2 linked regions of the Bombyx mori genome follow. The protein of the gene in region 2 interacts with the protein of the main gene of each other region in a pairwise test. Links are inferred from orthologs where the notes say so. Each region holds a gene or a part of one and is shown on either strand. Other genes may lie near its edges.

Evidence for each region.
Region 1: the proteins of phosphatidylinositol-binding clathrin assembly protein LAP (region 2) and MAGUK p55 subfamily member 7 interact in a two-hybrid assay, tested with the Caenorhabditis elegans proteins (2 studies listed by BioGRID). The link is inferred for Bombyx mori from reciprocal best matches to the Caenorhabditis elegans genes unc-11 and magu-1.

Annotation. Positions count from the first base shown.
Region 1 is NC_085107.1:10,941,555-10,957,525, reverse strand, and holds part of MAGUK p55 subfamily member 7, read right to left. Parts: intron 15,944-15,971; coding exon 15,914-15,943; intron 14,388-15,913; coding exon 14,220-14,387; intron 12,790-14,219; coding exon 12,593-12,789; intron 12,454-12,592; coding exon 12,338-12,453; intron 11,151-12,337; coding exon 10,833-11,150; intron 10,143-10,832; coding exon 9,972-10,142; intron 8,915-9,971; coding exon 8,742-8,914; intron 7,341-8,741; coding exon 7,164-7,340; 3' UTR 1-7,163.
Region 2 is NC_085113.1:1,608,857-1,624,827, reverse strand, and holds part of phosphatidylinositol-binding clathrin assembly protein LAP, read right to left. Parts: intron 15,257-15,971; coding exon of another isoform or gene 15,236-15,256; intron 14,537-15,235; coding exon 14,468-14,536; intron 12,267-14,467; coding exon 12,164-12,266; intron 11,402-12,163; coding exon 11,234-11,401; intron 10,885-11,233; coding exon 10,746-10,884; intron 10,216-10,745; coding exon 10,070-10,215; intron 9,643-10,069; coding exon 9,465-9,642; intron 9,395-9,464; coding exon 9,338-9,394; intron 7,824-9,337; coding exon 7,637-7,823; intron 6,961-7,636; coding exon 6,790-6,960; intron 6,415-6,789; coding exon 6,163-6,414; intron 5,515-6,162; coding exon 5,409-5,514; intron 5,021-5,408; coding exon 4,921-5,020; intron 3,127-4,920; coding exon 3,055-3,126; intron 796-3,054; coding exon 682-795; 3' UTR 1-681.

The sequences.
Region 1 (15,971 bases), on a different chromosome or scaffold from region 2:
AGCGTTTAAAGTGTTAGGTTTAAAATACTGTAAAATACAAAACTTCAACAGAAAAATTCATGAAGGAGTAGTTTATGTTTATGTTGGTAACAGATTGGAAAGCAATATTTATTCGCCAAACATAAATAGTATCTAAAAGCATTTGTACGGTTTAGTCTAGTTTTTTTTTATTGTCATTAAATTACGTTATTCCCATCTGACGTCCGTAACAACGAAAACTCTGAAGTATTCGAAGACGTCAGAAATAACATAATGACAAAACTAAGTAGCGGGAATTAATATGCTGTAAGAGTAGTTATAATAACGTCATAAAATATATTTATAGTATCAGCAAATTTGAGTGACAAAAGTTGAAAATTTTTTCTGTGGATTTCTTAAGACTGGAATGCATCAGTTGATTTTCGATTGTTACATACATTATTTTTGTGTGTTACCTTAATACATCATCACTACCGAGTCTTCAGTTTCCGGGAGTTGTTCCTCAATCCGCGACCGTGTCGTGTTTATTCTTGGCGACTCTACCCCATGTAAGCGGATTAAAATGTCCCTTCGGAACGAGGTGACACTTTACAAAACTTGCATAAGACCCGTCACGACTTACGCGAGTGTGGCGTTCGCTCACGCGACCCTCACGCATCCCTCACGCATGTAGAGACTTTCCAATCCCTACAGTCCCGCTTTTGCAGATAAGCCGTCGGAGCTCCGTGGTTCGTGAGGAACGTTGACCTACACGACGATCTGAGCGTCGAATTGATCCGGAAACACATGAAGTCAGCGTCGGAACGGTACTTCGATAAGGCTATACGTCATGATAATCGCCTTATCGTTGCCACCGCTGTCTACTCCCCGAATCCTGATCATGCAGGAGCCAGTCACCGTTGACGCCCTAGAAACGTCCTTACGGATCTCTCAGAACCAATAACCTTTGCATTAGACGCCTTCAGCTCCAACACTAGGAGTAGGCATAGGGACCCCGGTAACCATACTCGTCGAACTCGACCTAGAGTTGCAACCGTGACGAATGAGACGTGCAACCTAACCCATGCATCAACTCGCTGAGTTTCTCGCTGGATCTTCTCAGCGGGTCGCGATTCTGATCCGGTAGTAAACTTATTCGCGAAGCAGTTGCTCTTGAGTTGTTAGGTCTCCTTCGGAGGCGCTTGGGCAGCTGTTAGCAAATCCCACCCCTCCTGGCCGAGCATTTGCTCACTCACCTATCCTGGTGAAACTGGAAAAGCTTCAGGCCAACCAGAAATCACTCATACAAAAAAAAAAAGAGTCGTTCAACTACGCCCTTTTAAGTTTAGAAAAGATTAGGACTTAGTACGTGCAAAATATGAGGATTTGGTTATTTCAAACGAAATAAAATAGGGTTTTTATTATAGATAGGTTTCTATATATTATTTTATTTATAAAAGTAGGTAGCTTTTTTGTTGGTATTTAAATGAACCAAAATGATATTATATTGAAATACATTTACCTATGATATAAAAAAATAAAATAAGCGAGTATCTTATGATATAAGGTTCGATTCCAAAACCACGGCAAAAGAGCCGACAATTTTTTTAAAGTTGAAAAGTATTTTTCACGCTGGAGACGATAGAATGCGATTTTAAAAAGATGTACTTATATTATATTATGTTAATGTCGACATAAGGGCCCGGACATCCGTGATTTTCATTTTAAAATGTACCTATTGGGTTCGAAGCAACGAGATAAAAATCCACGAATTCGCACAAAAAGGATTTTCTGAAAGAGTAGAACAAACCTGTTCTTGATGGCGAGAACCGCTTTTGTTATGTGCAGTAAAAGTCTATCACGTTTTTACGAAAAACTTTCAAAATTTCTGTCACTAAGTTGAAAAAGAGTTCAGTTATAAACAGCAAAATTCAAATAACAAACTTAATAAAACACTGCTAACGTAGTCAATGTTAAAATAAGAATGTAGCATTAGATATGTAAACAAAGTGATGTATGAGTGCAGAGTTGAAAAAAAATATAAAACAACTTTTGGCGCTATTTTATAGATTACACCAGGTACTTGCTACGGTGGCGCCACGTTTTTTTTCTTTCTTTTTTTACCGTGGGGCCATCCTAATTGCTCACTTTTCGACGGGCACCTTTTCATACACTAAGATTGTGTTCCTTACCTTATGTTTACCTACTACCTCCTTACCTTGTATTTTATTGATATTAAATGAATATCGATGATCTTTCCAGATCCCGATGATACATCGTATAAATGATCTCTGAAAACGCACTATGCTTGAACGCAGTGGTTACAGGTAGTAAGAAAGTTCTCTGCCCTTACGGATAGTTGTCGTGCAAAAAGAAGATGGAGAAACAGCTCAAAAAATTCTTCGGCAAGCGCCCGTAGAACATACTTTACAAAGTAATAGAGGCGTGGAGAAACTAGTCCTAAAATTCCAAACTGTTTTTGTACCTATATTCTATTATAACATTTTATTTTAACTGACTATATTTCTTATAGCTAATTTCATAGATTAAAAACTTTTTATATACGAAGTTTAGTGTTCAAATCAACAAACAAAATCATATACCTTATTGTATTTTTATTGATTTCGCAGCGCTTGATCGTGATTGGGCATCAATTAAATAGAAAAAAGATCTAAGAGCATTCTCTCTATATTTGTGAAAATGACATTTATAATAATCAAAACGAAAATATAACGCTTTGGCAATGATAATAAGATATTTTCCACTGTATGCAACGTTATCATACATAGTTTAGAGTAGAAATTATTTTGGTTTCGGGGCGTTCGTGGTTTTAAAACGATATTAACTGTGCAATAAAACAACGCGCAGTAATGTTTTTGAATTAGTAATTTAAACGATTTTTCAAATAACATAATTTTAATAACTGGCCATTTAAAAACATTTTGCCTGTCTCTTCCATTGATATAGGTTTAGTCGGTTTTATTTTTTTAATCGTTTCATGTAGAAGTCCATTTACACCAGCGGTCGGGGAACCGAGGTAAATTACCCCAAATGGGGTAAAATGAAATTTTGGGGGGTAAAAATGAAACTTTTGTGAGTAAAAAAAATATATAGAAGTTAAACTTCTTTAGAATCGTTAAATTTTCTTTTCAAAATTATCATGGGGGCTATAATATGAAATATACTAAAAACAAGCGATTTCGTTTTTTTTTGTTCTTCACCATGGGGTAATATCAACTTACAGAAAAATATTTAAGGGTAATAATTAAAAAAGTTCCCCGACCGCTGATTTACACCAACTGTGTGCTTAGAACATTGAATGCCCCAGAAACGAAAGCCCTGCGATAACATCTGTGACGATACGATAAATGATAACAGCAATCATAACGTACAGGTGTGTTCCATAAAATACGAATTTCATAACAACTACATTAAGTACCTAAACATTGTCTCTTTCACTTTACGTTTTACTGCTATTAATATTTTGTTGTATTAGGCCTATAAACTTATCGAACGGTCGTAGAATATAAATTTTTATTTACTCAATAATTTGAAGATTTTTAATTCTATATTTTTATGTAAACCATAATATGTTTGGATATATGAAACAAAAACAAAACGTGCAACATAGTACACGCAATAGAAGCGAAACTTCTTCGTCGATATACAGAGAAAGATAATTACTTGATGCTGTAAGGCTACAGACGCGCCCAAAGAAGTTTAACTTCTCGAAATAGAAAGTACCAAAGTTGAAGTTTATAAATTATAAAGTACAGCTAAATTTAAAAGTTTGAACGTACAGCTTAATGTTGTATTCAAAGAATAAAGAATTAGAGAGCCTTGAAGAGATTAATTATTTTCTAAAATTAATTTAATCAACAGCAAATAATTATTTATCTTCACTACAACTATGCTTCATAAGCATGAACAAATAATATATAATCAGCTATATTTCATATTGAAACATCTAAGGTATTTTTTTCTATTATATTTACAAAAAGACAAAACGTTCATTGTTTACAATCAGACTTGAATAAGAATCGAGAATTAAGAATAGAAAACGAATTCTAATATACAATAAGTATACAACAATCATTAATGACAAAAAAAAAACATTAAATATTAATTGATGTGTTTTGAACATTTTTCATTATGAATTCTAATCATGTTTTATAAGCTAGAAGTGGCAATCTAGCTTTTTAAACTAAACTATGCATTTGCCATGTTACAAAACAAGTTTACTAGGGCAGCTAGCGCATTACTATTCAGCTAACTATAGTAATAACGATAATCTAAAGGAACACATATTTAGATGTTTAATTTGAGGTAGTCATTTCAACAACTACATTCCAAAATATATGGCTTAGCTTTTTCGAGTACAACCTCAATTTGAATACATAATTATATTATGTTCTATAATACTTTCTATCTACGTAAAAATCGTTTCTTGCTATTTTCATTTGTGTCACTAAGTTCTCAAAGGGAAACCATATAAAGTACGTTATACTTACAAATACCCAAAACCCAATTTATTGATTTCGACAATTTTAATGTAAGAAGATTTTATTACCTTCAATATCTCCCTCTCTACTGCAAGCTAGAGCGCAACTAAACAACTAATAAATATCCGTGAATTTTACGGTTTCTCGTAATTATAATATCAAAGTATTTATTGTAAATATAGATCCAACGTTATTATTCTGGTTACGAGATCTATTAAAATACTTAAGGATTATGCGACGCGTCACAAGAGATATTGTAAGTTCGCAGTGAACATTCACGAGGCAATGCGCAGAGTAATTTACCTTGTAACATGTTTCTATTTAATTACATAAACATTTACAGTCGTATCGTTACTTGTACTATTAGATCTGTCCAATTAAAAGTGCCCGTATTTATTATTGTCTTATACTTTAAAAATTATTACTTCATTCACTGATTCGTATTGCTTACATTTTTAAAGAATTCGCTATTCAAAGCATCAACGACGAGAATAACGCTAGTAAAGATTATTAAGACATTTTAAATTAAAATTACAATGTACGTTACGTTTATAATTCCGATATCGATACTAAATTACTCATTAATTATTGGAAATATCTAAACTAAGCGATTTCAATAAAAGACGTAACTTTTCTTAGATTACGAGGCACAAAAATTATTAACCATCTGTAACATTAGCGTAAATTATGTCGTATTTAACAGCCGTATAATAAAAAATATAGTCAAAGCGACAATAATTTCAACTAAATTATTACAAAATCCTGTTTTCTTATATAACGTTTCATTATTTCTTTTTTAAATTATCTATTTTTCAATTTAATGCGTACTAATCGATTAGCCAACGTATTAGAAATCTATTCTATCATTGTAGACACGGCTTTAGTAGTTAGAGATTTTAAAACTTGAATCATAAGTATGTTTATTATTAACTACGTAAATTTTTTACTAAAAGCTGATATCCATAAAAGCGGAGATATATGTACTGTTAATCTTCTATTAGATATGAGAAAAGAGGCCATTACATTTTTTTTTAAAGTGAAATTCGAGAAATATGTGCTATTTTGTGGTCAACTTTTTTTTTAATTCTTTTTTTATCTCGTCGCATCGCCGCTTTGTTGTACATCAGCCATAAAAATTGGTCAATACAATAAGAATATTTATTCGAATGTACATATAGATTTGGTATTTAATTATTTTATGACAAGCGTCATTTAACAATATTTTTTTTGTATAGATGTCGTTTCAATAGAATCACGATTCAAAGTCTCAACAAATCAATAGACAAACTATGGATTTCGATACAAACTACAAATATATATTTTATCTAGTAACATTGTTATAAACTCTAATGTTTTTTTTTTTTTAGTAATTTGGAATCATAAGTAGTAAATTGTATCACCTAAGTATGTGAATGCTATTAAAAAACATTCAAATGAACTATGATAGAACGTTTAACTGTTTGGAAAATAAAAATTAATATGGAGATTTGATTTGATATGAAACAATAGTCAATTCATTTATTTTACAAGATTCTGTTGTTTCGATTTTCTATATTAATTAAGATTTAAGATAAGATATTTATTTAAAAAAATTGCAATTTATCAATAAATAGTGCCAGGTTTCTGGAAAATGTAGTTAATAATTATCAAAAGTACATGAACTGGGAGTAACATTTTATATTTTTAGTATTTCAACTATTGTTTTTTTTTACTAATTAATTTCTTTCAAAACTTAACGTTTAGGAATAATAATAATAATTAAATATATTATTTTAGAAACTGTACGGCGTATTATTTCTAAGGTTTTTAAAGGAATATACAATTTTTATTCGACGATTATTTATACTAATATTAAAAGTCGAACGAAATTTTTTGTATACTTTTGTGCATACGATTAAATTTAATTGAACACCGTTTCTCAAAAAAATACTTGAAATTATTTCCAATAAAAAAAAAGCCATTCTTTAAATTATCTTAGGTATTTTTAGCCTTAAACTTAAAGCAATGCTTTTTATTGTAAGCATGTCGTTTTTATTTTTTTCGTTTTTTTTTTCTTCTATTTCCCTTTGGAATTGAGATCAAGGTACACAACGTGTATATTCTAAAACTACGAAACTAAATTTGAATAATTAATCGCTATGAACACTAGCATCGTGTGCAAAAAAATTGTACTAAACATTACTTAAAAAAATTATTATCTACTTATATAAGAAAATAAGCGTTTCAATGTGTGAATGAATAAACGTGCTTCTTAATCCTTCGACTGTCAATATCATGAAGTCTTTTAATTCATTTATCTCAAAATGCCCCCATCCTCTAAGAAAACTACTTTTCTCTATTGCCTATTTGTGATTTATAATGTAACTTTTATTATTTTTCTACAGATCATACGAGCTACCGGTATCTAATAAAAATATTACTATTATTATGTTCGATGGGTGCACTTGATTTAATTTACAGTCTTTGTTTGCCAGCACAAGGAAGAAAGCTTGCACACAATCACAAAAATAATTATTGCATCCGTTAAAACAATTACCATTGTTAATTTTTTTGTTTGTTTTTTTGTTAGGTATATTAATAAATTTTCTTTTCACAGCACGATCTTTAGACATATTATTTGATGTATAATTGTCATTGTGTAACCACTGTATAAGACAACAGCGATAAAACATTGTATATAATTGATTATTGCGTGATTTTTCTTTACTGGACCCATGAAGCAGGTACCCACAGCGGTTCAGACTGAACTCTCCAAGCGGCCTTGAGTAGTTGAGACACCGCACTGGCCAGATCTTCATTCACCACCTCTTCATCGAACATGTATCCGTATAAGAAATTAATACGATTGGACGAACGTATTATATCTGTGAACTCTTCTTCCTGTAAATAAAGTTTTAGTATTTAATAAGTACTAGTGGTCCTCCGGTAGTCGAAATTCGACTATAATTAATTGAAATCATAAGTTGATACAATATTATGATTCTGTTGTCAAAGACCATTATAGACTTCTATAATCACAGATTTCGCCAAGACTTACACTTTCAAATATTAATAAAGACAAACAATATATTTTAATCTATTTTCAATTTGACCACAGACTCAGCAATAAGAAAAGTTTGACAATAAACAAATAGTATGCATGCGTGTGTGTCATATAGATGGTAGTGTGTGTAATGTTTTTTTAATTGATTTAATGTATTTGAAGTCATCGTGGTCTAAAAGATAAGACGTCCGGTGAATTCGCATTGAGCGATGCACCGGTGTTCGAATCACAGGCGGGTACCAATTTTTCTAATGAAATACGTACTTAACAAATGTTCACGATTGACTTCCACGGTGAAGGAATAATAACTATATATAACAGTTGTAACTATACTGAGATCTTAGAACTTATATCTCAAGGTGGGTGGCGCATTTACGTTGTAGATGTCTATGGACTCCAGTAACTAGGTGGGCTGTGAGCTCGTCCATCCATCTTAAGCAATAAAAAAAAATGTAATAAAAATCAAACCCGCAAAATTATAATGCGCGTAATTATTGGTGGTAGGACCTCTTGTGAGTCCGCACCGGTAGGTACCACCCACCCTGCCTATTTTTGCCGTGAAGCAGTAAGTCGTTTCGGTTTGAAGGGTGGAGCAGCCGTTGTAACTATACTGAGACCTTAGAACTCATATCTCGACGGTATTGCAGACGGGGACACGCAAAGAAATAAAGCATATTTTTGCATGATTGTATAATTAAAAAATTTAATCGATAGATCATATTAATATGTATGGTCTGCTGCAAAAAGGAAAAATGGAGCGTACAGGTGACAGTATGGTACCCGAGGTGTGAGAAGGATGAGGATGGTGTGAGAAGCCGAGGTCGCAAACCAAGAAGATGGGAGGATGAACTAAAAATTACCACTGGACCCCTTTGGATAAGAGTAGCAAGAGACAGAAAGCAGTGGAAAGAGTTGGAGGAAGCCTTGGCAGAGGCACACCGACACGAGACATTTTATAGTGGAAGTGTAGATTTTAATCTTATATTTTGTTTTCATATAATATATTGCTTTTTTCCGTTTTTTTTAGTCTACTTGAAATTGTTAGTTTAAAATGTAAAATGTTCGGAAAATAAAGGTATTATTATTATGATTTAAACTAAGTCGTCGACAATATCTTTGCTAACCATCAATTTACATACTATATGCTGTAGGGTATATTTTTCTTTATTTTTAGTTTGCAATTACATATAAATGTTTGAATTAGGACTATACATGCGTCTGTTATTAGCGTCACATACCGTGAATGCTCTGGATGATTCCTTATCGAATGTGGAACGCGCGTTTGCCGCAGTCCGCGTTTCGACCATCCTCTCCAAGGACGGAGGCTTAATGAACACGATGTAGGGACGCAGGCGCGGAGTTCGAAGCATCTTTAGGGCCTGCCAATGCGGACTCAACACACACACACGACCTGAAGAGAACAATTTCCAGAATAAGTTCACGAGGGTACTTCCTAATTAATTTATCGAAGTTATATTTGGACTTTTTGGCGGAAACGCGAGGAGTGTAATTGTGTGATTTGTTTTGTTTTGTCTATTTAGTGTTTCTTCAGGTTTAAATGTGTAATAACGGTGGTTTATTTAACTGTTTAATATCTCTGAAAGTGCACAAATGTGGGAAAATGAAACAAAGCCGCTGAACGTAGCTTCTCGGGATCCTCCAAAAAGTCCACTGAAAAAATCTCCGTAAATGACCACCATTTTACTGAGATTATATTTCATCCCATATCATCTCATCTGATTTCATTTATTCCATTTCATAATATAATTTTTCATAAAAATAAGAATATAAATTAAAATAAGACATGACTTAAAGGTCTTCATTACCAGATCAATATTTCCACCCATCTAAGCATTAAAAAAATCTATATCGATTTCCTTCATTCAATACGTAGCACGTGTTTTATTTTTATGTGTATGTGAATAAAAGTCATCATCATCTTCTTACTGGTGGTAGGACCTCATGTGAGACCGCACGGGTAGGTACCACACCCGTGCAGTCTCACATGAGGTGACGTTGTAGATGTCTATGGGCTCCAGTAACCACTTAACACCAGGTGGGCTGTGAGATCGTCCGCCCATATAAGCAATAAAAAAAAAATTCCAAAAAGTAAACGAGAAATAAGATTAGATTAAAAAAGCAGCTACATGTTACCAGATGTCAAAATTGGCTGGCTGACAAATCCTCGAACACATTAAAAAATCCAATGATAAATTTTGTATTAAACTAATGATTCATGCAGTGTACGTAATGTAAGACGATATATTTATATAAATAATCAGCTAACGAGCGGAAACTACAAGCTTGTGCGACGCAGGTGAATGACCGCTAGAAGCATTCGCTGTGCATTGCTGGTTAACTATACTTAAACATGAACATGCATAAATGCAAATTAATATTTATAAATTTAAACAAAAAATGCTTATTTCACAGCAAGTATATTATTAATTTATCAAGTTTTTTTTTACCAGTATTAATAATAGTCTCGACGCTTTCGGCAGCGGTCCCATAAAGATTGCCCTTGTATTCACCATGCTCTATGAATTTCCCATCGGTTATATCCTGTTCCATTTTTTCCCGAGTTACGAACACGTAATCTTTACCATTCTGTTCGCTTGATTTTATAGGACGCGACGTATCTGTAATGTTTAAAATTTATTTACAGATTAGCAAATCTCGTGAACAAAGATTTCTTTTATGAATTTATTAGCGCGCCTTAGTCTGGATACTGGTCCATAAACTAGCCGTACTCGCCCGCTTCGCTGGGTATTTAAAATTAACATTATTATTTATTGTCATTATTATTAGGGAGTCCAACACTCATATAAATATTAGCCTATTCATTAAGTACATGTATTTTCTACATGGAAACCAAGTTTCAAATCAATCGGATGCACTGTTCAATAGTTATAACGGAACATCCGTAAAAACCATTGTAGATTTATAGATTAAAGTATAGATTTCATTTAACTTTTTTCAGACATTTGCGTGGCCGAGTACCGAACATACAAATGCACGAAGGATATGATTTTTTTAGTTTATGATTTATGACATTTATGATAATAATATCAGTATAGATGTTTTTTTTAAAGTAAATTTGATAATAATATTGTTCGTACCACCACCCCGCCTATTTCTGTCGTGAAGCAGTAATGCGTTTCGGTTTGAAGGGTGGGAGCCATTGTAACTATACTGAGACCTTAGAACTTATGTCTCAAGGTGGGTGGCGCATTTACGCTGTAGCTGTCTATGGGCTCCAGTAACCACTTAACAACAGGTGGGCTGTGAGCTCGTCCACCCATCTTAAGCAATAAAAAATAAAAACTTACACGGTATCGGAGTGATGTACTTCTCCGGGTCCGTAGCGACGAGCCTCCGTCTCAGTTCGTTTCTGCCGACGCCGGGCGCTCCGATCAACACGATCGGGCGTACCAGACCCGGCCTCGGGTACAGCCGGGCGACCTCCTCGTACGTCGGTATCAATTCTCTATCGAAATCGTCGTTCTCCGTTATGTCGTATATGATCTTCTTGACTTTCGGAATCGACTTGCAGGGCAGGAGCGCTGTGGCCGTCGGCGTCGGTGAACATGGCGTTTTCGGGGCACAGTCAGAACTGGACGCAGACGGACTACAAAGGGCGGGCTTACCTAAAAACACCGCAACAACAGATCAAGCTTTTCTTGTAGACCGCAAAAAGTGAGGGTAGGATGAAATTTCAAAGAAATGCATACATTGAGGACTTTTTGGCGGGAACGCGAGGAGTGAAATTGTGTGATTTGTTTTATTTTGTCCCTTTAGTGTTTCTTCAGGTTTAAATGTGTAATAACGGTGGTTTATTAACTGTTTAGTATCTGGGAAAGTGCACAAATGTGGGAAAATAAAACAAAGCCGCTGGACATAACTTCTCGGGATCCTCCGAAAAGTCCACTGAAAAAGTCTCAGTAAATGACCACCATTTTACTGAGATTATATGTTATCCCATATCATCTCATCTAATTTCATTTAATTTCATCCCAGTTGATTAATGTCTTAAATTAACCATCTTCAGTTCATTTCATTTCACTTCATATTAGCATTTTCGTAAAAGTAATAATATAAATTAAAATAAGACATGACTTAAAGGTCTTAGTTACCAGGCCATAAAATCCCTTAAAAACGCATACATTAACAGCCTTCTGTCTTGTCTTTCTGTTCTACATCGCTAAACGATTTGAGGGGCCATCTGGTTAAGTGTTAAACGAGTTCATTGACAACACAATGTAAATGCCACCAAAACCAGGCAAACCGTAAAACCAGGTCGAGAAATGAGATCGAATTTTCGATTGTATTTATTTAGCGTCTGTTCCACCTATCAAATCGCAACGCACGACTGCTTAGAGTACTGTTAATTAAGCTAGAGGATGGAGATGAAAACACTAATTAATTACTTCCTAAAAAAATAAACGTAGTATTTATTTAAAAAAATTATGTCAGTAAAATGAGAAACTATATTTTACAGGTAGCTGCGCGTTAATGGAGAAAACAAAACTCCTCAGAAATGGCACATATTTTTTCTTTGATGAAAAATACCGTGTGTCCTTTTCCATACCCACGACAGCGTGTATGCATAGTTTATTTACGATCAGTTGAGTAGTTAAGACGTGAAAGCGTAACAAACAAACAGACCGATTTCGCATTAACAATATTATTATCGATGTCCAATGTCACACCATCTAGATCGTTTAGAACTACAACTAAATATCATAGCAATCGTGAAATACATAGCAAATAATAGCACAACATCGAAAACAGAAGGTCGAACGAGAAGAAACATTACGATAAAAACAGTACAAACCATCCATAGTCTGGGGATCGGTCTGTCTCTCGTGAATGATGCGACCTTCTTGCAGAGCCCTGGACGGTATAAGCCCCGCCCTCATAACTCTATCGCCTTCGCGTCTCGCTTGCCACCTAAACAATAAGCCACACCAAAATTCGTCATGTAAAACAATACGTTTATAAATAAATATTTCGCGTTATGAGAAAACAGATGTATTTCGCAATCGATTAAAGAACGCCGCCAGCGATTTCCGTTCAGATATAAGCTTACCAGTAGGCGTCGTCCTGTGAAACGATGTGGAGGATGTCACCCTTCTTAAAATCGAGTCCCGCTTCCTTACAGGGTATATAAGGATCTTCGGACGAATTGTAATCAAATAACGCTCGGACTCTGACTTTGCTTTCCCGCGTACCGCCTTTACCGAATGACGGTACTAATTTAAACGTGATCGTGCCTTCGGAGTTTTGCTGGAACACATATGTACATTATTCGATTTATTGCTTTTATTTATCTCTTATAATACTCGTTTATATAAAATTCATATTTGTTTGTCGTCTGTGTTGTTTTGTGTAATTTTATTGTTGGCTCTTCAAGGATAGTTTCTGGTATATGGCCCTCAACGTACTGTTACGAGGATTTATAAGAAAAACTTTTTAAAAAAAGAAGTTTATTTAATTCTAATAATTAAAACATTTGAAACTGACAATTGAAATTAATTGGGGCAAGTGTCACCGGGAGCGCGGTTATAATTGAACTGCGTGATCTATCGGCAACCTAACTAAGCTGCATTACGTTGTGCAACCTACATTGCATTTTTAGGTACATTAAGAATATACTAGAGGTCCCGCAGTAGTCTCAATTCGACTATAATTTATTGAAATTGTAAGTTTGTACACTATTATGATTGTATTTTCAGAGACTTAGTTTATACTAAGTCTTGGCGAAATTTGTGATTATAGAAGTATTATTACTTCTATAATCACAAATTTCGCCAAGACTACACTATAGAAAAATATTAATAAAGACAAACAATATTTAATCTATCCTCAATTTGAACACAGACGTCAAGAACAAAAGTTTGACAATAAATAAATAGTGCGTCAAATACATGGTAGTGTGTGTAATGTTTTATTTATTGATTTAATGTATTTTTTTGGCATAATTTAAAAAAATATTAACATTCTGCACTCCTTCTCTATGGGAAATTTCATACTCCTCCATCCGCGCAATTTTCGTAAAAAGGGGTACAAAGTTTTTCCTTCACGAATTAATATATAGATAACAGTACGACAAATGGCGCGTCAGTCACTTGCAAGTGTACTTGATATATTCTGCGACAGTCACAGCAGAGCGAGTTAATTAATTGTCATCATAATATATTGTTCGTCTCGCTGTTTATTGTGGCAAAATCTTCTTCAGCTATTTGAATGGGGTAAACTTAATTGGCGTTCAATTAAAAATATCGAATTGTCGATGCTAATACCAAATGAAACGGACCTTTAATTACAAAGATAAAAGTCACGTGTTAAGAGAAATATTGCTTAAACCAAATAGCCTTCACCTCTCATTATTAAGAATGTACTATTTGTTTAGAAGCATCTAATTTAAAACGTAATTTATCTTGAATCGATTTCGGTAGGTCCGTTTTTTGCGTTTGTCGCATCACTAGTTATACAATGTAGCCTACTGAGTTTCTCGCCGTAAATTTTCTTAGTGGGTCGCGTTTCCGAACCGATGGTAGATTCTGCGAAACACTGCTCTTGCGAGGGCCAGTGTTAGCAAAACTCCCGGTTTCAGCCCCGTGAGCTCACTCACACGTTAGGGCGAAGCTGAAATAGCCTCTCAAGGTTATCAGCACGGGTAGGACAAAATATATATATATATATACGATGCTTACTAATATAGACAAGACATCGGCCGGAGTTTTGTTTTCCACACTGATTCCGTTAACTTCGATGACCTCGTCGCCGGCGTGGATGAGTCCCGATCTATCAGCGGCACCTCCGTGCATCACTCGAGCGATAACTATCTTCCCGGTTTCTTCGTCAGTCTTGATTGTTGCGCCCTGAATTGTAATAGTTAAATTCAATTTCTTTCAAAATAACAATACGTTTCCTTGTTCTCCAGTTTCGTTTAATTAGAAGCTGTATATGAAAAAAATCGAAAACAGTTTTGTATATTTACCTACATAACGTTGTAGCTCACAGATAATACCCGTTGATTATATATTATGCTTAAATGCAAGTTTGAAGCTGCTTTCAGACTACGCTATAATATAATAGCATATAGTATATAGCTCATAGCACAATAATATCGTGCACCATACATTGTTATGGACACGTTCACACTGTACTGTAGCATATATTATTGACGCTGCTATACTATATGGCACTATAGTATCGCGTAGTCTGAAAGCAACTTTTCTTATTTTAATCTTAAATTAGGACTTATTTGAATTTAATACGCAATGAAAATATCCTTGTCACTGTAAGCTTCAGGTATTTTTAATTCATATTATTCACTTTAAAATTATTAATTAGCTATGCAATTTCTTTACGTAGATTTAGTCAATCTAAAGTACCTACTTACTACCTTTTACTTATTATGTTAACAGAGAGCGCCTAAAAGAATTATGATTAACGATTATATGTTATGCAGTGGTTGGCGTTGACAACAACAACGATTAATGGTTGATGGCGGAATAAACTAAATAATGTAAGACTTATTATAAGAAAATATGAGATGCATTTATTTCCCCCCAATAGATGCCTTAATTTTAATTTCCGCAATAATTCATGAATTGGGTATTTATTAACCAATTTAACTTATATTTTGCACGTTTTTTATATGTTTTTACTCTGTCATAGTAAATGGTTAAATGTAGAAGGAAAACAGTACGTAAGGTTAGGAATTTAATACTATTTCTTCTTAAGGCATGAAATAAAACCAAGTAATTATAATTATGATGATAGTACCGTATGATATACGTTTCGTATATATAATAGCAATATAATTAATTCAGTTTTGTGAAATACGAATTTTTTAGTCAAAACAGAAGATAAGTTTAAACAATTGTGGCGTGTACAAACTCGCGGCGAGAAATCGCAGTTTGATGAGAGTACCAATCTACAATATACGATACTCTCACCTGTAATAATAATTAAACATTGTCAGTTCACTGGTTTTTTTTTACTGTGTGCATTTGCAAGAATTCAATTTCGTTGTTTTCCTTCCAATAAACCCTTGAGAAGGGGCCAAAAAATATACACGTTTCTCCGATGATCTACCGTCTTCTCCGCTAGAGTTATAATGCATTTATTAAAATGAACAAAAAGCAACATGTATTGTGTGAAATGAATGAAAAAAAAAAACAAAGGAAATGTAGGTTAAAAAAAAATACAAATAACACAATACAGATCGCATCACATCTAGAGATAGCAGCTAATAAAGTTTCAATGAGAAGTGACGAGGAGGCAACACCAATAAAATAATATTTTGAGTGCAAAACACATAGAGAGGTCTTGAGGTAGATTTTAACTGAAAAGCATTCCAATACTTAGCATAGTTATTATTATTCTTCATAATACTCACCACAATTGGTTCTGCACTCTGTGCTCCACCCTTCCAATGAAAAATTATGTTCAATACA
Region 2 (15,971 bases):
CTATTTTATACAAAATAAACAGGGACCGTATTGTCTAATTTTAACATCATACTCTATACAGAGTACAGAGTTACAACATCAATGATATAATTAATCTGTGGCTGCAACTGACAGTTCGTATTTGACCTAAAGATCTTAGTTACCAGGTCATAAAATCCCTTATAAAAAAGACGTGTCAAACGGAAACGACCTGAAATACCTACGAGAACGTTCTTCAAACGTATGAAAGTAAGGAGTATTATGTAACTCAGTGTATTAAAAAATGACAATTAAGATGGCGCCACGGTAGCAAGTGGAAGGATTTTTTTTTAAATTCAGACGGTCGATGTTAAAATTAGACAACGGGGCCCAGTGTCTAGGGACACTTTATAATTAAAGTGGGGCCTTAAAGACCGAACAATTATTATCTCCTATTCAGGTTTAAGCGCAACACGGGGTACTTAGCACAAACGTACCTAACTAAATCTCATAGACAAATGGCTCCAAATACTACTACGTTCCGACTGTTCCGTTACTCAACAAAAAGATGATTAAGAAATAATTTATCTATTCCTTTCGTTCAATCTCTGACAGGTTCCAAGTTTATATGAAGTCAGACTGCTAAGATTGGATGTGGTTTATGTTGGACCAGGAACAGTCGGTGGTGATGATACATAAAAACCTTTCGGTGGTGTTTCCGGTTTAACTGAACTGGTTGGTGGTGGGCTGTGGGGGTACGGCGGGTCGCATGGGAGCGGCCATCGCCATGGGCATCATGGGGGCTCCGGGCATGCCCATCGCCATGCCGGGTTGTTGCTGGAAATGCCCATTAAACACACATAATATAAAATTATACGAATACGGTGAAACAGTCCTAATTGATTTTGTTTTATTATGAGACATTATTAAAAGTAAAAAAAAACTCATCACTTCTATGATGAATGAGCGATTTTGATTCCCAATCAATTAAATTACCTACCTTTATTAGAATTATGTACCTGATTAATCAGATGAAAATAATTTGTTTTACAGCTACATAGTCAATTCCAGGCTGTTGCGAGTTGTTAAGTCAACCAAATACTGAAGCCAGAACTTTATTCATCGATCGGTGTAAACAACAGAATCTGTCCCTTATTACGACTGCACAAAGTCGAATATCAAAACCAACGTCATAACAACAAAATCGTTCAGTAGAAATATTCAAGAAACAAAGGCAACGTGTATGGTATTAGCGTATAATATTGCAACTACAAGCTGTGAAAACTAAACCAGTGCAAGCGAAAATATTTAAACTTGGCGTCTAACTGTTACCTAAGCTCATGCCATTGACATTGTCATTGTTTGCAAGCCGCTACCACGAAGCTTCCATATATACTACCCATTTTAGAAACCAGAGTATGATCTAGTGTTTCTTGATAAATATATCGATTTTTGTTTTTACATAAATTAACTATTCCCAGGTTTCGATTAATTTTTAGAATACATTAATTAATTTATTTTACTCAGACTTGTAGTGTAGTAGATTATCGTTAATAAATTGATTATATCACAATAGTTACCTACACAAATTTTATATGAATTCGTTCTTGTTAAAATGATGTTCCATACGAAAAATAATAATTCAACTTGTCCAATAATAAAATCGAGGGGTAAAAAGGCTATAAGGTTTAAACGACATTTTTGCAACTTTACAGGAGATCCATTTAAAGTTTAAAAATTTTCAAAAAATATCCTAACATGAAACTTCTTTAGCTATTTGAAAGGGGTAAGCTTAATTGAAGTTAGAGGTCGAAAAAAGAGTCCCCTGCAAGGTAGAGGGGGAAGAGGTCGACCGAAGAAGACATGGATGGAGTGTGTGAATGACGATATGAGAGAGAGAGAGGAGTGAGTGTTGAGATGACGGTTGATAGAAGAGAATGGAATAGAAAAATTCGCTGTGCCGACTCCACCTGGTGGGATAAGGTGGAGAAAAAGAAGCTTAATTGAAGTTTAGTTAAAAACATGAAACGAATTGTTGATGCTAATATCAAATAAAACGGACCTTTAATTACAAAGATAAATGTTGCGTATTAAGCGAAATGGCGCTTTAACCCAATTGCCTTTCACCCCTCGAAATATATAATAATTTCTAATGAATTATTATTAATAGTTTAGAAGCTTCTTACTTTGACAAATTTACTAACAAACAATTCAGACAGTCTAGTGTTTTTAATAACAAATTACAAATGTTTAATTAATTATGTAAATTTGACGAAAATAAAGAAAATTCTCGTGCTCAAGATCACACCTTTGGTAGCAGACAGATTTCAAACTAACGAAATAACCATGTTTTTTTCTTTTTTAATTTTCAATAGAACATGCTAATACAGCTAAATAGAAAATGAAAAAAAAAAAAAGTTCCGCAGCACATTAACCACACTTTCGAATTCCAACGGGACATGCTGATTGACTAAATGAGGCCGTCAGTGTAAAAGTGGTCTAACCCACAATTTTTCATAATCATGCTTATAATATGTATATTGCAATTTATTGAAAACTAGCTGAGTTCCGCGATGTTACCCGGGGTTATTGTCGTACCGCGGGTGAAGTCACGGTTATTGACGGTGACGGTACGGTTACTCCTTACATCATCAGCTGCCTATCAGTGAAAGTCCCGTCAAAGTCGGTCCAGCCGTTCCAGAGATTAGCCGAAACAAACAGACAGACAAAAATTGTAAAAAATGTTATTTTGGTGTATGTACCGTATATATTCATATGCATGTAGTAAAAAGTGGTTATTTCAATATTACAAACAGACACTCCAATTTTATTTTTATGTATAGATATAATAAATTTTGATGCAAAACCGGCCTATCCATAATTTCACCCATAGACAACAAATGGCTCTGTAAACATTATTTTTTCCCGTATTGTTTTTTTGCCTACTCAAATTCAAATGAATGAAAACTTAAACCTCATTGCTTCATAATAACTATGGTAAGCTTGGGCCACTTTTGCGCTGACCGCCTCAAATATGCTGCAAGAAAAAACAAATGCAAGAGAAACAAAACAAAAAAAAAATGTTTAGCGACTCACCATAACATAATGCGGGGGGTGGTATGTGTGGGGCAAAGTGTGGGGCATGGTCGGTAAGGTCATGCCGGGGCCCTGCAATAACGCAAATAAAACAAAATGCTCGGCATGCTACGGGAGCCTTCGGTCACGTCACTAATTAGCTAACGTCACGGCCCGGGTTGTTGACCCCTGTTCCTAGATGCTCTCAAACTTTCAATGTCCCCCTTTGCGGGGCTAAAGCATGTTTACCTTTCAACTATTTACAAAGAGAATTACGTACATATGCTTATACTAATTTATTATCAAATTATTCTTTATATAAAATGACCCGTGTTCCTACATGCTCTCAAATTTTCAATGTCCCCCTTTGCGGGGCTAAAGCATGTTTACCTTTCAGCTATTTACAACGAGAATTACGTGCATATGCTTACTAATTTATTATCAAATTATGCTTTAAATTAAAATTGAGAAACAGAATTTACTTCGAAAAGAGGGTACTTGTGTTTTTCATTATTATTCGTGTAGCATTAGTCACGTGACCGTTAGAATAAAAAAATAAGAATAACAATGCAATCTTAGCTCTACACTATACTAGGGTACAATTTAACGTGACGCAAACGACCAGCACAACTAACTGTAAATGCAACAACTAAAGCGCATAGGCCAAAGGAAACGTGAATGGCGTATGGATGAACAAAATTAAGCTAAAGTAAAATTGTGATAAAGACGATAATATTATTGTTTGGAAATGAAAATCATTTGGCAAGATGGGACCGGTCGATCGTTTGTTATTCGAAGTGAAACAATGTTACAAAATTTTTTATTTGAAAAAGAAGTTTCACTTCATTCACGTGCACCAAGTTGCACGCGCACCGTTTTATTAATACGCTTTTATTAACTTCAGACGTATGTATGTAGTATGTAACGGAATCTTTCAACATGATTTTGACCCCCTTCCAAACGTCGGATTAACTCGAAATTTGCCATACTTATTAAGGAAGGATGATAATTCAAACAAATATTTTAAAAAAATAATTGAAAAAATATAAAAATTGAAACGCATCTAAAAAATTGAAAATAAATTTTAATAAATTTGCATTAAAAATAGTGTAAAAAAAGATTACATTGTAAAAGAAACGTGGGGTGCATGGTATCAGTAGTTGTAAATATTTTATGAACAAATATGAGTAGAAGGGTTATTTTGATAATATCTTGAAAAGCACCTCACGCTTTTTTACAATAAAATCATTTCTTCTTTCACTATTTTTAATTCAAATTTAGTAAAATTTATTTTTTAGTTGAATTTTCAATAAAAGCGTATTTTGTTAGTATTTTTAAACTATTATTTATCTTTAGTAGCATTTGTGTGACGCGCACAAAGATATTATATTATTTACACGGACGTGTTACAAATGTTTGATTCGACGAGTGTTGTAAGGTTTTGACACGTCACCATGTATTCGAATCATTCCGGGACACAAACACAAGTAGTCTTATAAATGACCAAGTCCATGTGCCAAAATTTACATTAAATTTACTTAGCTTAGCTTGCAGTGGGGACATTAAGGCTGTGGGTAGACAATCGACACGTTATTCGCGTAGTGTGAACCGGCTGAATACAAGGGGGCGTTCCCAGCTTCCATGTACGATCGACTTTAGGTCCCATTTGCTAAATGATATTCATTTACAAAACGAGTGCGTAAACACCTTTGGACAACTGAACAACAAGGTCGCAGCAGACATGCGGCAGTTCTCGCATTCCCTTGGCTGATGAATTAGTTCCCGCCCGGACTTCGAGCCGCCTTTACCAAGCAAGTAACCTAATGGACGCACAGAGGCAAAGCTATACGGGGGGACGCGAGGGGGACGCTGTGGGGGGCGGCTTACCATCGGCCTGTAGCCGGCGCCGGTCGTGGCCTGCATGGGCTGCGGGCTCCAGGTCTGTCCCGGCTTCGACGCGTTCTTCGGGGAGTTCCACTGCATCGGTCTGGTGGAAACACAAATTTGGGTTGGATATTTGAGATATCTACTAGCGTGCATCCGCTCAGTGCATCCGATTGACTTGAAACTTGGTATTCATGTAAAAAATACATGTACTTAATGGATAGGCTAATATTTATATGAGTGTTGGACTCCCTACACCAGTTGCGGGGGCGTTAATAATGAGAATCTTTGTGGTGGTGAGAAATAATAATGTTAATTTTCAAATGCCCAGCGAAGCGGACGGGTACAGCTAGTATATTCATATATATTTAATTTGTCACCTATGGACTAATAATGATATCAACCAAATAAATACAGTCCACTCTCATTCACCACAACGCAACAATTCTCCTGCTGAGAAGGGCTCAGCGCGTGAGCTGGATGCGACTTACTTCTGGGCCGCAGCTGTCTTGTTGATGGAGAGGTTATTAGCGAGCGACGCGAGGGACGAGTCCAGGTCTCCCGTGAGCACCTTGCCGGGCTGCGGCGCCTGGTGACCTGTATCGTTTGTTGCTTTAGAATATCTATGGTCATCAATAGCATCCAGTGCTCAGTGTTTGTTTGTTCGTGTTCTTACGGCAGCTTGTGCTGTTTGAAATGTAGCTGTTTGATAAGGTTTTTAGTTGATTTATAGTTGATCTCAAAACAATTTTCTTTTCTTCTTAACAAATCCAATTCTACATGTAATAAATTAGATATGATTCTAGATCAGTGGTTCTCAAAGTGAAAGTAGCTCAATTCTATTTATGGTTCGCAAAACTAAATTGATTGAGGCAATAAGCTAACAAAGATGCTTTTGTCGTTTAAGCTTATTCAAAAATTAATATTCGGCATTAGAGCTTCTATGATTCATGATTTATTCTCTAGCATGCGGTCAATGTCAATACGATGGGAATGAGCATTTGATGACCGCGGTTAAATCAACAAAAAAAAATATAGAAATAATGAGTTTTATGTGATTCATTATGTAAAAATAAAAAAATACGCTAAATTAACTTAAAATGATAATTATACACAACTAAAAAACGGCAACGGTGCATTAGCATTACTGCTACTATACGTAGAGGTGCAAGCATGACGGGCAACACTGAAACGAAAACGAAAAAAAAAACCGAAAACATCCGACAATCTGTAAACGTTTCGAACCGCTCATCGGCGCCATCGGCTGGCGGGCCGGCGAGCCGAACATCATCGGCATCGACATGACGTCGGCGGACTGGTGCTGCGCCGTCGGCTGCTGCGTGACGGGCTGGCACTTGGCCGGCGAGCCCAGCGACATGCGGAGCACGTCCTCTAGCTCGTCGAAGGCGGACTTGGGCGGCTGCGCGGGCTGGGGGGGCAGCGGGGGCCGCGAGGGGGACGACTCCCCCATGCCCATGAACGGGTTGGGCGCCGCGGCTTGCGGAACACATCAAACAAACGTTACGCCGGACGACACGTGCGTCATAACGCGACTACCCCTCGTGCGTGCGAGCTCCGCTCAGCTTTTTGACCACATGTGAGTGCTTTTTAACGTCTTTTATACAACAATTGTACATTTATACACGAATACCCGTCACCAAAGAAATGAGCTGATTAAGTTTATTAATATCAGAGTTTATTATTAATTACTGTAGGAGTCGCCGTGAGATTTAATGATTTTTCCAAAAAATCATATTTACATTAATTACTATTTTTTATTAAAATGTCCCCCTCATTTAGGTAGATAGTAGGTGGGCAGGCGAGGTAAACCTCACGGCGACCCGCTTCAAGACTACGTGGAGTGCAGCTCACCTGTGCTGTCAGTGTTATTGAATACGTTAGAGAAGTTAGCCTCTGAAACGAACGTGTTGTTTTGTTGTGTCGCAGGCGCGGGGGCGAAGGCCGCGAACCCGTTGGTGGGGGGCGCGGGCTGCGGCGCCGCCGCCCACATCGGGGCGGAGCCCTGCGCCGGAGCTGACGGGGCTAAAAGTGTTGCCATACAATAGCAATGCAGTACTAATTTTATACATATTGAAAGCTACATTATTGTGTTAATTTCCCGAACGTAGTAAATTGTTAATAAATCTAAATTTTACACCTGGTATTCCATAGTGTTATGTGGTATAATTAATATAATTATTCAGATTACACTTTTTGTACTGCATTGGTATTTAAAACGTGAAACAGACATCGTCCCGAGGCCACAACTGGTCCAATGTGTGTAGTTCTGTACAGTGTGCTATTATTATTATGTACACATTATTAGATCATATAGTTGTTATTAGTTTGCAAATTATACTTAATGTTACCAATTTGTTAACAATTTAGAAGTGTATTTAAAAGTTGATATGTTTATTAAAAAAATTTCAATGTTATTCCAATAAAATGTATTTTTAAAAATGTTCCCACTAATTTCATTTAAAACTACATTTATTTGAAGTAATAAGTAAAAATTTTTTTTTCAGCCATTGTATTATCCAAACGTGACATTGAAAGATTTTCCACCGTATAGACTTTTATTGCAAAACTTTTTTTTTATCCAACTAAATGAATTTGTTTTATTTCTAATATACCTTTTAACTATAAACAAAATATACATACATACGTGACCATCACCAACTAACCGTCATCACGTGTAACGACTAATGTAGAGACTCACCCCCGAACATGTCGGCGAAGGGGTTGCCGAGGGAGAGCAGGTCGTCGGAGGCCTTGGCTGGCGGGGCGGCGGCGCCGGCGGGGGGCGCGGGCCCGAACAGGTCCACGATGGCGTGCTGGCCGCCGGGCGGAGCCCCCGCGCCTAGGAACGGGTTGTTGGCCGCGTTCGTCGGCGACTGTACCTTGTTCTGCAATCAACAGTAAACTAACCTGTAGTTTCTATACCTGCGCGCTTAATGCGAGTTTTTTAACGTTCTCGATAGCGTAAACGTTAACCACAATTTGTATGGGGTTGCAAAGTTTGCCGCTAAGGGCGCTGTTCCAATTGCATACAAATTCGAGTTAACTTTTACGTTATCGAGAACGTTTAAAAACTCGCAACACTGTTGAATGTTGGATGATTTGCGATCGCGTTATGTTATGTGTGGTTGTTCGGAGGGTGGTGAGACGTGCACGACACTCGTTTCAAACAAGAAGGGAATGCGATGCGAAGCGAAGCTTGGCGATATAAAGTACAGTTGACAAAAAAAACTGTTACTTAAAGCTTTGAAATAATGTTCATTAAAGTTCTGACGTTCAAAACATACACTACACAGCTTTTGCAGCCACGGACTGCTTTAGATACTGCAATACTAAATCTGTTTTACTGACCCCAATTAAACTTCAATAATGTTATCATGTTTCCTCGCATACACAAAAATATGTTAGTTGTCAATACCCTTCTTATTTGATGATATCAAAACATAAATTATATTACACCACAATTGAAATACGCCCAATCTTTATAACAATCCCTCAATATGATAAATATAATTTATAGGACATTGAACAAGTTTAGTGTACACACAGCATACAAAGCCGCTTCCCACATATTCATACATAAATATTCCCTAAGCGACATGGAGTACGAACAATTGAGTATGTAATATAAGCAGAAACACAAAATTTATGTTTAATCACCTAGAATGTAGGTAATAATATATATTTTTTATTCTTTATTGGAGCCATACACTTATTAGGTAAGGTAATAATAGTAAAAGATAGAAAAAATTGTTGAACTTCTTTTTATTTGAAATCATTTGTAGATATATTTTCCCAATAACTTCTTATATGAATTAACACACCCGATAAATGTTACAAATGATCACAACACGGAACTAAATGCCATTTATTTTTTATTTAAACTATTTTTAAAATGGCTCAAAGCTCACGCGACTTCATTTGCATGTGACGTCATTTGGGGTCAAAACGTATGATGCGCTAGCCATAGATTATACGCTATCGTGATTTTAAATATAATCAATCAATAACATTTTTCAAAAGCAGTGGTTTGATGTAAGGTTTTCAATTATTATTGATTAAGGTAGTTTTTTTACCAGCTTTTTATTTACATTACCTAGATTTGTAATAATTTATGTATCAGAATCACTCAAGGTAAGTTTCACGGACTTCAAGACCATATAATTTTAATTTTTATCCACGCATCAAGGATCATTGATAATAGAATTATTTTAGTCCAATATCGTGGCCATACGGATAAAATATAAGTATCAATCATCTTTACTACCTAGTACGACAATTGTTATTAAAATGTGTTTATTTATTTATTTAAGACTGTCAGATATGACTTAAACGTATGCTCTGCTTACATTACACATCTCCACAACCGAGCCCACAAACCCATTCTCTATTGTGGTCTTACGATTATTTCCGTCAAGTCTTCGTTTCCGGTCAGCTCGTCTCCTTGCAACAAGTGCACCTGGAACGCAGTGACGTTAGTTGGTTGCGGCGGGGGGTGGGGCGGGGCGTTGGGGAGGGCGGGGGCTGACCTTGTACTGGTTCATGGCGGCCTCCTCCTCGGCGAGGGCCTGCTGTCGCAGCGAGTCGTCGATGAGCAGCGCGGCGGCGGCGGGCGGGTAGTCGAGGCGCGTGGAGGCGGCCGCGTTGCCGAACGAGGACGACGTGGACGACAGGGCTCCCATGACGCTGGCCACGTTCTTCTGGGCACTGCGGATTTACAATCAACGATCTTATAGACTTTAGTCTTACTAGTAGTCCCTTAGTAGTCGAAATTCCACTACAATTAATTGAAATTATAAGTTTGTACACTATTATGATTCTATCATCAAACGACATGAGAATCCTCTTGTCGTGGCCGCTGGAAACTGCATACCCGATTCTGTATACCGAATGGTAAACAATCGACGTCGCCCAAAACACGTCATTACGGATCCTCCGAGAAACTCAGTGGGCTGTGTCTGTGTGTTAATTTACTCGGGTAACTGTTCTATAATATCGAAAAATTTGGCCACAAGTGACGTCACACATTGCAGTAAAATTTCTTGTGTGCACAGCAGAACTGATATCGCCGGTTCGTGCATGCTTATTTTGTGTTAAATAGTAGTGAATTGTGTCGGGAGTGGTTAGTGCAGACCTGGCTGTTTGAGTGGGAGTGTTGGCGGCGGAGCCCTTCTTGCCCTCGAGCGTGGCGAGGTGGCCCTCCAGCGCGTCCAGAAGGCTACTGGGCGCCTTGGTGAGGTCAGGGATGTCGCCCTTGTCGATGCCCACGTTCTCCGCTACCTGTGCCATAACCATGTTTCACTTATTACACTGACGATATTCTATGTATATATTCTACTAGCAGTACTCGGCTGCTTCGCTGGGCATTTCAAATTAACATCATTATTTATTGTCATTATTATTAGGCAGTCCAACAGTCATATAAATATTAGCCTATCCATTAAGTACATGTATTTTCTACATGGATACCAAGTTTCAAGTCAATCGGATGCACGGTTCAATAGTTATAACGGAACATCCGTAAAAACCACAGTAGATTTATATATTAGTATAGAGTATAGATATAGAAGTATAGATATCTAATCTATCTATATTCTATCTAAAATAAGCTCATGAGAACTTTTTTACGGAAACGCGAGGAGTGAAGTTATGTGATTTAGTTTATTTTGTCAATTTAGTGTTTCTTGAGGTTTAAATGTGTAATAACGGTGGTTTATTAACTGTTTTGTATCTGTGAACTACAGAAAACAGGTTACAGAAACAAATCATATTTAAAATCGATTCTCAACAAGTAAAAAATTGTATCTTGCCTTCAAGAACTCCCCAACTCTATCCATTCGGATCAGGAACTTTTTATAGAGATCGAGAGCTTCGCGACAATTCTTCTTGTTCATGTCGAAGTACTTCTCTAGTAGGTTTATGATGCCGTCATTGTAGCACGCGAATAACCTGAAAATGAAAAAAAAGATATACCTATACTATTAAAAAATCTTCACCGAAAATAGTGTTGGATTTATTTGACCGTTAAACAAAAAGACGATTTTTTTTATGGGTGGACGAGCTCACAGCCCACCTGGTGTTAAGTGATTACTGGATCCCATAGACATCTACATCGCAAACGCGCCACACACCTTGAGATATAAGTCTAAGGTCTCAGTATAGTTACAACGACTCATCTAATCAGCACATATAACTCTCGCCAGTGAGAAAATTGAATAGTGCATCAACGAGCTACTAGGAGTGAATCCTGAAACTTAACCTTTTCTCAGTCCCAAACATATTTAAATTCAAAGCATACCTAATGAGATCTCTGAAGAGCAGCATGAAGCACATATTGATGACTCCATTGGTGAGATCGTTGGCGGTGCAGTCGAACTCTAGAAGTGCGTCCAACTGAGCCTGGAGGACCGGCAGGGTCTTTAGGAGTTTCTCCGCGTTCATCATGCGGAGCGAGCCTTCCTCCTTGCTGAAAAAAGAAGAGAGGTTTATTATTGGTGGTAGGGACCTCTTGTGAGTTTGCGCGGGTAGGTACCACCACCACCACCCCGCCTATTTCTGCCGTGAAGCAGTAATGCGTTTCGGTTTGAAGGGCGGGGCAACCGTTGTAACTATACGGAAACCTTAGAACTCATATCTCAAGGTGGGTGGCAGCATTCACGTTGTAGATGTCTATGGGCTCCGGTAGCCACGTAACATCAGGTGGGCCGTGAGCTCGTCCACCAACCTAAGCAATAAAAAAAATGAAAAAAAAGAGAGTATATCGAAATTAAGCAAAGTACCCGGAAATTTCTCGAGTAAATAGGAGCAAACCAATTATGACTACGTATGTACCCCTGTATAATCTCTCGTCTGTTTTATATAAACTTAAAATATTTGTTCATAGAAAAAAATAGACCGTCATCAGTCAAAGCCATTAATTACAAAGCCTTTTTTTCATATGAGAACTTTTCTGTATTAAGTTTTTTCGACTAAAAATCAACTCTTACTTTATCACTTAGATCGAACAAAGTTTATAATATTCAGCTGTCGCCAACTTTTTTTTCGGAGATCGTTGATGTCCATGGACAACGCTGTCGCCAACTTTTTTTTCGGAGATCGTTGATGTCCATGGACAACGCATAAATCTCAGATTAATGATCTGCCTTCAATATTATCCAAAACTAATTCCCTCCGCCCAAGTCCATCGAATGCCATGTTAATTAAAATTAACAACTTCAATCCCACTTACCCCCTTTTGACCTTGCAGAAGTCAAAGGCGACAGTCCTGTATGAAAGCGCCTTCTCATTGAGGTATTTAGCGTAGCGCCGGATGAACGGAGACATGTCATATCCTGGACATGTAATCATAAAAAGGAATAATAAACAAACATTTTTTAAATATAGTCTCTCGTTTACGAATCATTCTATTTTGGGAGCTTCTAAAGCGAATAACAGCGTGGTTTTTCCGTATTGTTGGGTTTGGAAAAAAAAACCCGCCCCGGGTACACGATACTCGCATTGTAATAACGATAAGTTTATTAAAGGGAAAAAAATTGAACTATTTGATGAGGGTGATACGCGTTTTGTGGTTGATAAAAAGTTGCGAGTGATTGACACTAGATTGATGACGTCATCTTCAGGTATGTCATCGAAGTTTCTGGTTACATGGGATATTGGTATTGCGTTGGGACTGGAACTCAATACGATCGAAAGACAATAAAAGTGTCTAGCATTTTTATATTCAGCCAGTCAGTTTCTTTTAAATTATAATTTACTAGATATTTAACGTGGCTTCATTAGGTAGTGATATTGGAAAAAATATAATTATTTTATAGTTATTTTTCTGGACGAAAGAAACTATATTCGCTTCTTTACAGCATGTACGTGAAATTTCATGATGATCGATTGAGTAATTAAGATGTTAAAACATAACTAAACTCATTTTCATATTTACAATAAAAGTATAGATTATATTTTCTATCCGACATAAAGCCTTCGTCAAACAGAACGCGTACTTAGCGTGCGTCAGAGCGCTAAACTAACGCCGCGCTATGACGCCGAGATTTGTTGTACCACTATGGTAACATACCGTCAAACAGAGCGCCAGCGCTACGAGCGCTATAGCGCTGGCGCTCTGTTTGACGGTATGTTACAGTAGTAGTACAACACATCTCGGCGTCATGGCGTAGCGCTCTGACGCGCGCTAATTACGCGTTCTGTTTGACGAAGCCTTAAGTACTGTCGTTATTAAAATGCGAATGTACCACAGTTTTTAATGTAGTGTAATAAACCTTATTATGTTTGTTTTAGGGACCATACATTATCGACTCGAATTCGACTGTCACATTTAAAATTTTAATATTCTAGTTAAAGCGAAAACTTCTAAAAAAACAAATAAGTACTAGAAGCAGTTGTGTACATAGGCTCTGTGCAGTGCGTGTGAAACTACTGAAATATACTAATTACACAGTCAGTGATTTTGATCTATTAACAAACAAAAAAATGAGGTCAACATACTTTATATCTAATTTGTTTATTCTAATTTGATCATTCATTACTGAATTTCGTAATTCTTCTATGCATATCTCTCTGTGTATGGTATTTCCAAAGTACAGTGCTAAAGACTGATATCAATAGTGGAACAAATATATAAAACTTAAGTAGTTTTTTTGAAACGATAGAATTTTTTTCTTGTCTTAAAAATCGGGTCTACTCTATTTTTCGCATTATCAAGTTCGCTATGGCAGCCGCTAACATTAATCAAACGACTAAGGTTTAAAGTCAAATAATTGGACAACGATCCAACACCACTGCTCATTGACGACAGTGTAAAATCGACAATGCTTCAATTACAATTTCTTAGGCCAACAAATTGACGAGCGCTTAATGCACTTTAATGACTTCATCATAAAGTCCAAAATCTCAAAAGCCTTAAATTAGATTCAGGGTGCAATTTTGAGACGTCAATATTGATCTACACAAAACAAGGTAATTTTAATGGCGTTTCGTCAATAATGTCTTATTACACACCTGTATGTCATTTTTTTTTATTTTTTTATTGCCGTATAGGCATACGGCCCACCTGATGGTGAGTGGTTACCGTCGCTCATGGACGTCAGCAATGCCAGGGGCAGTGCCAAGCCGCTGCCTAATAATACCTATTCGTTTTAATGTTATTTCTACGTAAGCGCACCCCCAAAACAATAATAAGACCATAAAAAGCTAATCTATACACGATTTTTCTATACATGTATAAACAACAATAGGGATGCCTCTCTTGGTTTGTAAAAACAGCATAAAATCCATTTACCATACATTTTAAGGACAAAAAAAGTAACCTTGCGCTATGAATAACTAAGACTATAAATTATAATACACTTTTTTAATCTTATAAATAATTACTAAATCAATTTGACCACTATTGAATTCAGTCAAACAAAAAACGCAATACGCGTGAAATAATATAAACTTTATAAAAATAACAGATACAAAAACCCGTCTGTGTATTCTCGAATCTACGTGAATTTAATACAGACAATAAACTGTATCGAACCAAAATCATCGGTATCGTTTTTTCTTGTTACACCATGTCCGATAACAGATATGGCTAGCACATACATTCCTACAAAACAAACATAAAATTGAAGAAAACAAAAAAAAAGTATTTTTGTTTGTTTTTTTTCTTATTTTACGTAACTTTAACACGGTAAATATGAATGTCGATTTATCTTATCTCATACTATAGCACATTACGACGACGTGGAAAAGTTATGAGCTAAAAGAATAAGATTCAAAGGACAATTTGCGAAATGTGCGAAATGAAAAAAGTCGCAGAGGAACAATAAACTTCATACTTTAATAATACGGAACGTTTGAGAACATGAGGAACGTCTCCTTCCTCGCTTCCTCACTGCTGAGGGTCATGACCATAATGTTTAAACAGGATTTTATTTTTTATTATGTATTTCCAGCGTTTTCGATCATTGACATAAAGGAATATCTGTTAACTACATTTGTACAAAATTAATTTATTTCAAAACATCAATTAAAATGTCCTTTAAAACTTATTTAAAGTAAGAATTTTCAAATAATAAACTCCGGAAACACATCAGGGAACGCATTTATGCCCTCCATAGAGACTGCATGCTAGTTCTTCATGGCAACGTCACATAAGCAAAATAACATTTAGAAAAAGCGTGTTCTTACACAACTTAAGTGCAATAACAATGCACCCATAAAGCACCATAGCGTGTGTTCGACTACACGTGAACATTCAGACATACACAAAAGCGGCCATTTTTTTTTGTATTTTTAAACTCACCGATCCTCGCACCGGCCGCTCCTTCAGACAGCCAAGAGAAAAATCGAAAAACATTCAGTTAAAAAAAAAGATTTTTCATATTGCAAGACTTAAAATTACATTTGATCATGAAAACGTGCTGTACATGTTTTTAAATCTATGTGTAAATGAAAAAAAAGAGATGTATTTTTGTTTTAAAGAAACATGCGAATTACATACATTTTGTACATTTTTTTTCATTAAGACTATTTCATTTAAGTTACGTTGAGAAAATATATTGAACTCGTTTATTTTTATTATATAGTGGAGGGACAGACGAGCTCAAGGCTCACCTGATTTTAAGTGGCTGAGCCCAATTACATCGCAACGTGAATACCGCTGTCCACTTCGAGACAAGACTAAATCCCCATTTGCCTAAAGGTACACATTTGGTGGTACTTCGTCATGTAAGGTCGTTGACTTGTACTTTTAGGCTCTTCAAGCAGCGGTCACCTTCCGCGTTGAACTCTTCGATTACGATTAAGAGCTCGACATAGGCACTGGCCCATAGACACAACCCACTGAATATCTCGCCGGATTTTCTCAGTGAATAGCGATTCAGCGTGGCACTGCTCTTGCTAAGGTTAATCTTAACAATTCTTTCAGATTGAACCCCTACGATCACCTACCAGTCCGCTGTAGCTGGAATACCCCCAAGGCTACCAAAGATTAGGTAAGAAAAAACCTACGTAATGCCTATATTGAAGCCGCGGTGCAT